2 linked regions of the Nothobranchius furzeri genome follow. The protein of the gene in region 1 interacts with the protein of each later gene in a biochemical or structural test. Links are inferred from orthologs where the notes say so. Each region holds a gene or a part of one and is shown on either strand. Other genes may lie near its edges.

Region 1 (3,908 bases):
AACGCCTTGGGGTCCTGCCACTGGTGGAGGTGGTAGGGGAGAGGACGGTCTGGGGCTCCCTAGTTGGGATGCTGCCCCCGCGACCCGGACCCGGATAGGCGGAGGAAGACGACGACGATTTTTATTTCCTTTTTTTATCATTTTTTTGTCAAAGTTATTAAGAGGCGTAGTGGAAGGTCCAGAGAGCCACTCGTGGTTCCAGAGCCGCAGGTTGTAGACCCCTGCGTTGGACCTATATTAGTTAGGGGGAGCAATCCGAGCATGAATGCAGAGAGACCTATTTCTGACCGGATCTGTTCACCTGCAGTGACCTCCTTGATGAGCTCAGCAGCGTTGTGGCAACCCTCCACCAGCAGATGAGTCCAGGTGGACAGCTCCTTAGCAGAACCCACTCTGAACACGTGCGTCTCCACGCCCTGCTTGGTGCCCGAACGCAGACCGAACGACAGCTCAGAGTCCAAAAGAGGAGAACTTTTTCCTGGGCCGGAGTGGACCAACCTTTAGGAAGAAAGAAGAAAATATCACCAGACTGTGGTTGAGAGAGAGACAATAATTAGGGATTAGAGATGAAGAAAACTGTTTAGAGGTGGAAAATGTGAAACTGAGAGATAGAAGGGAAAATATACATGACTCATAGGTTCTGCTAACATTAACGTTTTCCAAATGATGATGATGCTGTTGGACAAAATGTTCAGGATTACAGTTATGGAAAGTGTGAGCACGAACCCTATGGCCAAAACCAACCAGTGGAAAAAATTTAAATGCTTATAGGCGGAAACAGATCTGCTATAAAAACATGGGCGTGTGTGTGTAGGTGAGACTGGTATGTGTGTGTGTGGACCTGGTGGTGATGAGTGGGTGTCTCTTGGTGGGATTGATCATAATCTCTTTGCTTTCAGGAAAGGCTGGATACAGGAGCAGGTCCTTCTCTGTCAACACAGCCAGAACAGGTCTCTCTGGACCATGAGACACCTGCACACACACACACACACACACACACACACACACACACACACACACACACACACACACACACACACACACACACAGACATAAAAAGAAGAATTAACAATGAATAACAATGTGACAGGGTAACTGTTCTCTTTTTTCACCAAAGATAAGATAAAACAGTTGATCGGTGTCGGACGATAAGTATCAAGATCGACTTGTTCAACGATGGATCGAGTGGAACTAAAAACCAGACATTTGCTGTTGCCAGGCAGCCAGTGAACTCATCATCGCTATGCAGCTATCGGTGATGGGAGCCCTATAACAGATATTTACTTCTTTCATGTAATTTTATGGAGTGGGCCTACACTTGTTATTTCAATAAACTTGCAGTGGTCTCTAATTTGAATGAATTGTGAGTTGTTTTCTGTGGAAAGAGCAGCTCTGGCACTCCTGTTTCAGGAAGTGGAATTTAGTGAGCGCGGGACTTGGGGGTCTTATGCATTAATATTCATGATTATAAAACATCTCACCTCTGATTGGCTAAAAGCAATGCAACCATTCCACGGACTCTTCCAAAGATGTTGATGTTTTATGTCCACAAATAACACAAGCCTGAAAGAGTTCTGCCATGTTGAGGAGCTGCTAATGCTAACGATTAGCTAGCCGAGATGTGCTCTGCTTTCTCCTGCAGCTAAATCAGCAGCCTTCCCCCTCACGATTCAGGACGAATGAGTCCATAAATGCTAATTTTACAGAATGATGTAGATCTGTGTAGCTTTTTTGTGATCCGAGTATTTCCCTGTATTTTTTTCTTTGAGCAGCTAATGCAGGAAATAGGGGTTGAAGATTAGTTTCTCGTTCAGCATGCACGTGAAACTCAGAGTGACTGATTTCATTTTAAACAGAACAGTGGTATACGTGTCTCAATGAACATCACCTTTAAGAAAATCAAAAAAATTATCCAGTTTCATGAAACATTTCCATGTCAGCTAAAGGCTAAAAGGCATTCATGCCACTTACACACTAGCATCGGCTCCACTCCGCACAGCCCGACAGCCCGCCCCAGCCTGGTCGCATTTATTTCTCAATGCCTTAGGAATGCGGGCGTGATAGAGCACATGGGTGGTCTCCAAAATTGATATGAAAAACAGATTTCATTAATGTCATGAGCGCATCTCCGAGCACGTGGGCAGGGCAAAAGAGGTCCGCCGTGTCTCCATTATTAAACAAAGGCGGCCTGCAGTCTTGCTTTTGGAGAGACTCTGATATTGCATCCTGCTTTGCTTTGCTTGGCAGAACTGTGTGTGTGTGTGTGTGTGTGTGTGTGTGTGTGTGTGTGTGTGTGTGTGTGTGTGTGTGTGTGTATGTGTGTGTGTCCACAGCAGTGAGAGACAGAGAAAAATGTCTTCAGTCAGGCTCGTTAACTCCACAGCATCCAGAATGATAATGAATTGCGCATGCGGGAAGCCCCTCAGGCTGACTCTATTGACCAATCGGAGGCTCCCCCTAATGGTAGGCGTGATTTTGAGTCACCCAATCAGTCATCAGTCAGTGTGTTGGACCAGTTTGGCTCCAGGCAGACCGCCTTTGAAAGAGGGCTGAAAAGACGTCCGGTTGCACCCGGGAAAATCCAAGGCTACCCAAATGAGAACACTCCACACCCCGTCCAGGCGGAGTTGATCCGATGCTAGTGTGTAAGTGCCAATAGGTGCAGTTCTGAAGAAGCAACACTGGGACCAGTGCCCTCTGTCCATGTCATCATATCCTAATGATTTTTTCTAAATGTTATCTTAAAAAAAGGTTTCAAAGGTCCACGGGTTCACCACTAGTCCCGTGTGTTTAATTTGTTCAGAGACGTTTCACAAGAGTGGTTTAAATGTCCCAGAGCATCTGTGACCTTTACATCAAACATTGTGGTGTTATAGTATCTCATTAAACTCTATATTCAGTACCTCTATTATTTTTAGCTGCTTTACTGACAAAAAAAAGATTAGACTCACAACTAAACAAAGGCAAACCAACTGTACCAACTCTTTTAGTTGTACAGATTAAGCAAAGGGATTGATTTTCTTATCCATAGTTGTTCCAGGCCATTGACCTTATCCAGAAATCATACTTGGACCCTTGGATATTCAGTTTGAGGGCCCCTGTCATATATGATTAACTGGACAGTAAACACCACCAGATTGTCCCCATCTGGAACAAAGCCAGTGGAAATGAGTTTAAATTTAGCAACAGAAACTAAATTTACTGCCTAAGAAGTTGGAAACCTGGCAGAAAAGCTACGAAAAGCATGTAGCATTCAGACGTTCAAAGTGAAAAGCACTTTTGGCTGTTTTCTCCTGTATATCAGTATTCTTTCACACCTGCTCTGCAAGCCAGCCCAGATGTTTGACCTCCATGCCAGGCTGCATGCTCTTCAGCTCCTCTTTCACTTGCGGGAAAAGGTTGGCGGCAGCAGCTTGAATGGCATTGTACCAGGACTGGGCCATGGCTGGGTCTTTTGCCCGCAGGAACATGGAGTTCTTTCTGCTGGATGAGACAACCTCAAAATACCTGACAAGTGAGATGAAAGAAGAAGGAAAGAGATTAAAAACGAGGCTGTTAGAGAATCAAAAGACAAGTGGAAAGGAACAAAGCTGCAGGGCGAAGAGGACGTTTGCTTTATTAACAAAGAGAATGCATTAGTAAGGTATATGGGGGGGGGGGGGGGGGGGGATCACTTTTACAATAACCCATCAAACCACTTTGCTACTTTTATTTTGGCATCGTATTTTATTTTCTAAAAAGGCCACACATTAGCTAAACCTAACATGACATCCAAAGGTGCACATGGACACGCTGCAGTACCTGTTCTCTGTGTCTGGGGGGCACTGTTTCCGGGACACCTGGCACATTTTCAGCGGGATGCTGCGAGGATCTTTCACCTCAGCAGGGGAGAGTTCAGCTCCCCTCTG
Region 2 (3,908 bases), on another chromosome or scaffold:
GTACAGTTAACAACATGACAAATAAAACATAGTAACTATGATAAAACAAATAAAAGACAGGACAGGAGTAAACATGACTACATAAAAGAAGTAAAATATTAATATTAATACCTAACCAACATGATGTGTTTGTGCTCAGCTGAGATTAAAAGCCAAATTACAAAGGTGAGTTTTTAAAGAGACTTAAACTCATTCAGAGACTCAGCCATCCTTATTGGCAGAGTAAGACTGTTACATAGTCTGGGACCCACAGCGGAAAAGGCCCTGTCCCTTCAGGTCACAAGACAAGTCTTAGGGACCCCTAAAATGAGCTGGAGCTCAGACCTCAAACGTCTCGTAGGAACATACTTGCTCAAAATCTCTGTTAGGTAAGGAGGTGCCTGGCCATTTAAACAATTAAAAACTAACAATTAAATCTCAAAGTTAATCCTAAAACGAACAGGCAACCAGTGCAGGGAGAACAGAACAGGGGTGATGTGCTCAAGGCGCTTAGTGCCCATAAGTAGACAGGCATTTTTCACCATTTTTCAGGTGCCGCAGCAGAGAGTTGTCAAACCCAGCATAAAGGGAGCTGCAGTCCAGTCTAGAGGTAATCAGAGCATGGATCACCCTTTCTAGGCCACCATTTGATATAATGAAACCAACATATTCAAATACACCTTGTAGTTATAGAAATATACTCATTAAAGTGTGGCAATGTATTCTGTGCCTCTGTTGCTTTGAATGATTATAATGCAATTAATCAAGATTAATTAATTACAAAGCCTCAAATTAATTAGATTAATTATTTTAATTGAGTCCCACCCTTCATATATATATATATATATATATATATATATATATATATATATATATATATATATATATATATATATATATATATATATATATATATATATATATATATAAACATTTATATACACACACAAACACCACACACATTTATGCTTTCAAGATGATTAGCTTCTCTGTCACATGACTAAACAAATTACAAATGATCACCCCCTAACCCTCTGAGAAAGATACACAAACGGCAACAAGATGGGAATAATCATCACTATCAGTCCAGTTTTAATTATTGGACCAATACGGTATGTTAAAAAATGACTAACATCTGTAGACAACGATATTGATGTATTTAAACTGTGCATCCTTGATATTTAGACATAACACAAGTGGATTTTATTTCATTTGCTACCATAGAGGTAGTTGAGTGTTTGTTTTTAACACACTGTTGTTGTAATGTATTTACTGCGTTTTTTGCAGTTACTTTGTTGCATTTGTGCAGGTGCATTCCTGGTGCCGTACCTGTTCTTCATGGTGATAGCTGGAATGCCTCTTTTCTACATGGAGCTGGCTCTGGGACAATACAACAGGGAGGGGGCTGCAGGTGTCTGGAAGATATGCCCAATATTTAAAGGTAAGAATTTTTTATTGTCACTAGGGGTTGAATAAGGAAAATTTGACTATACAAATAGAACTTCTGCAGATTTTTTTTTTCTTTTATTATGTTGTTTTTCTTCTGAAAAAATAAAACTTTTGGAACTTAAATTGGAATAGTTGTAACGACACTTGGACACAAAAGGACGTTCACTCTCACCTGAAAAACCTAAATAGAAGTTTGCAGTGATTTAGCATTGGATGTGGCATTTTTTTTCCTGATTGGTAGCTAGCTAATTATGCACATGCATGGCTTATACGTGATTATTTTAAACATGTCAGCCTTTTCCTACTGTAGTGCTTTTTCCAGTGTCACCAATGGGAAAGGCGTTGACATAGATGATGATTTTAACCCACCAAAGAATGAGACCCTTCTTCCATCATTTCATTCTCATTCTACTTTATCATTATTGCCACAAAGTTACAACCAGCAAAACCAAAACTACATAAATCACAAACAGAGCTGCCTGGCTCTGAATTATCAGTCAACAACAACAAAAAGACGTGTTCTGTTTTAAGAATTACACATGAAAACACAAACCCTCACACACGTTTTTATTCTTTCCATGAAAATGTCCTGGTTTGTGGTTGCTTTTGTTTTTGGTCCATTTGCCTTCATTGCAGCCTGACTGACAGTAACTCATTCCCGTCTTCATGTCTACGTCTCTCTGTCTGTGTGGCTGCCCACATGCCTGCCTGTCCACATGCCAGTCTCTTTTGTCCGCCCGTCTCTACGTTGAGCAGCGACAGGCATTATTATCCCTCCCAGAACATCAGGTTCTGTTGGCACTTAGATGGAAAGCAAAAGTAAATTGGGCTTTTAAAACTCTCGCCCTGGTTGTCTAGTCAGGTGACGATGACTGGCGGACACGGTTTTTGAACACATCGATAAGCGGAGTGCGGTCCAAGAGTATACACACTAATGGAGACACAAACAGTAAGACTCATTTTTGTTTCCTAACTCAGCCGCAGGTTGAAAAAAATAATGATACTCTTTGCTCGAATCAGCATTTTATGCTTTTGTACACTTTGAAAGCTTTTATTTTTACAGGCGAAACTCAAACAATTAGAACATTAGTTCATTTATGCCAGTAATTCAACTTAAAACACACGAAATAGACTCATCAACCTTTATTTTATTTGTAATGATTATTGTTTACAGTTTATGAAAACCTCACATTTAAAATCTCAGACAATTAGAATATTGTGAAAAGGTTCATTATCATTAAGTGTCACACTCTAATCAGCTTTCAATTCAATTCAAGTTTATTTATATAGCACCAAATCACGACAAGAGTCGCCTCAAGGCACTTCACATAATAAACATTCCAATACAGGTCAGTTCATTAAGCCAATCAGAAAAAAAGTTTCCTATAAAAGGAACCCAGCAAATTGCATTTATTGCAATCCTCATACTAAGCAAGCATTTAGCGACAGTGGAGAGGAAAACTCCCTTTTAACAGGAAGAAACCTCCAGAGAATCCTGGCTCAGTATAAGCAGCCATCCACCATGACTCACTGGGGATGGAGAAGACAGAGCAGACACACGCATACACCAATATCAGCCCACCCACACACAAACACACATCCACACACACAACATATATACCAAGCAATGTTTCTATGGTTACATTGTGATTTCTTAGTAAATTTTCTATTTGGTGAAAGATAAACTTTATTGTATTTATCCTAGTGAATCTATAGTTAAACGGGTAAACTTGTAGTAGCACATTCCATGTCAAAGAAAGTAAAGTGTTATTATCAGGAGACGGAGAATATTTAAATGGTTAGCAACAGTGTTCAAGATGATGGCCCCCTCCATGAGGCCGCCACAGCTCAGCAGAACGTCATTGTAGCTTCTTCTGGGGAGAAAAACACTTAGAGAGAAAATAAAGTTAACAGCTGAAATTGCAGGAAATAATACAGTTGAAGAGCAGATTGTAGAAGAAAGTAGTCGAGTGTTTAAAGTGGTCAGTATGTCCTCCAGCAGTCTAAGCCCATAGCAGCATAACTACATAGATAACTCTGGATAACCTAGCCTTTTAGATGGAGGCATGTTGGAGAGCCGTCTTTACCGACTGTACACTCCACCTCCCTCTACTCCCCACTTGTCCAGATCTAGGCTAACACCAGATTTTAACCATATGCCCTATCAAATAAAAATGTTTTAAAACTAGTCTTAAAAGTAGACAAGGTGTCTGCCTCATGGACTAAAGCTGGGAGTTGGTTCCACAAGAGAGGAGCCTGATAGCTAAAATATCTGCCTCCCATCCCATTTTTAGATATTCTGGGAACCACCAGTAAACCTGCAGTCTTGAGAGTGATGTGCTCTTAAGTAAAGGTTTGATTACAGCAACCTTAATATCCTGTGGTACATATCCATTTACTAAGGATAGATTGATTATATCTAGAATGGGGGCAGTAAGCAAAGGAAATGCATCTTTAAATAATTTGGTTGGGATTGGATC

Evidence for each region. The genes of interacting proteins can lie anywhere in the genome.
Region 2: the proteins of snta1 (region 1) and slc6a3 interact in a test that uses a peptide from one of them, tested with the Homo sapiens proteins (2 studies listed by BioGRID and IntAct). The link is inferred for Nothobranchius furzeri from reciprocal best matches to the Homo sapiens genes SNTA1 and SLC6A3.

The regions. Positions count from the first base shown.
Region 1 is NC_091743.1:60,424,123-60,428,030, reverse strand, and holds part of snta1 (alpha-1-syntrophin), read right to left. Parts: coding exon 3,802-3,908; intron 3,508-3,801; coding exon 3,318-3,507; intron 973-3,317; coding exon 842-972; intron 499-841; coding exon 302-498; intron 1-301. UniProt on the Homo sapiens protein: Adapter protein that binds to and probably organizes the subcellular localization of a variety of membrane proteins. May link various receptors to the actin cytoskeleton and the extracellular matrix via the dystrophin glycoprotein complex.
Region 2 is NC_091745.1:43,574,086-43,577,993, reverse strand, and holds part of slc6a3 (sodium-dependent dopamine transporter), read left to right. Parts: intron 1-1,288; coding exon 1,289-1,420; intron 1,421-3,908. UniProt on the Homo sapiens protein: Mediates sodium- and chloride-dependent transport of dopamine. Also mediates sodium- and chloride-dependent transport of norepinephrine (also known as noradrenaline). Regulator of light-dependent retinal hyaloid vessel regression, downstream of OPN5 signaling.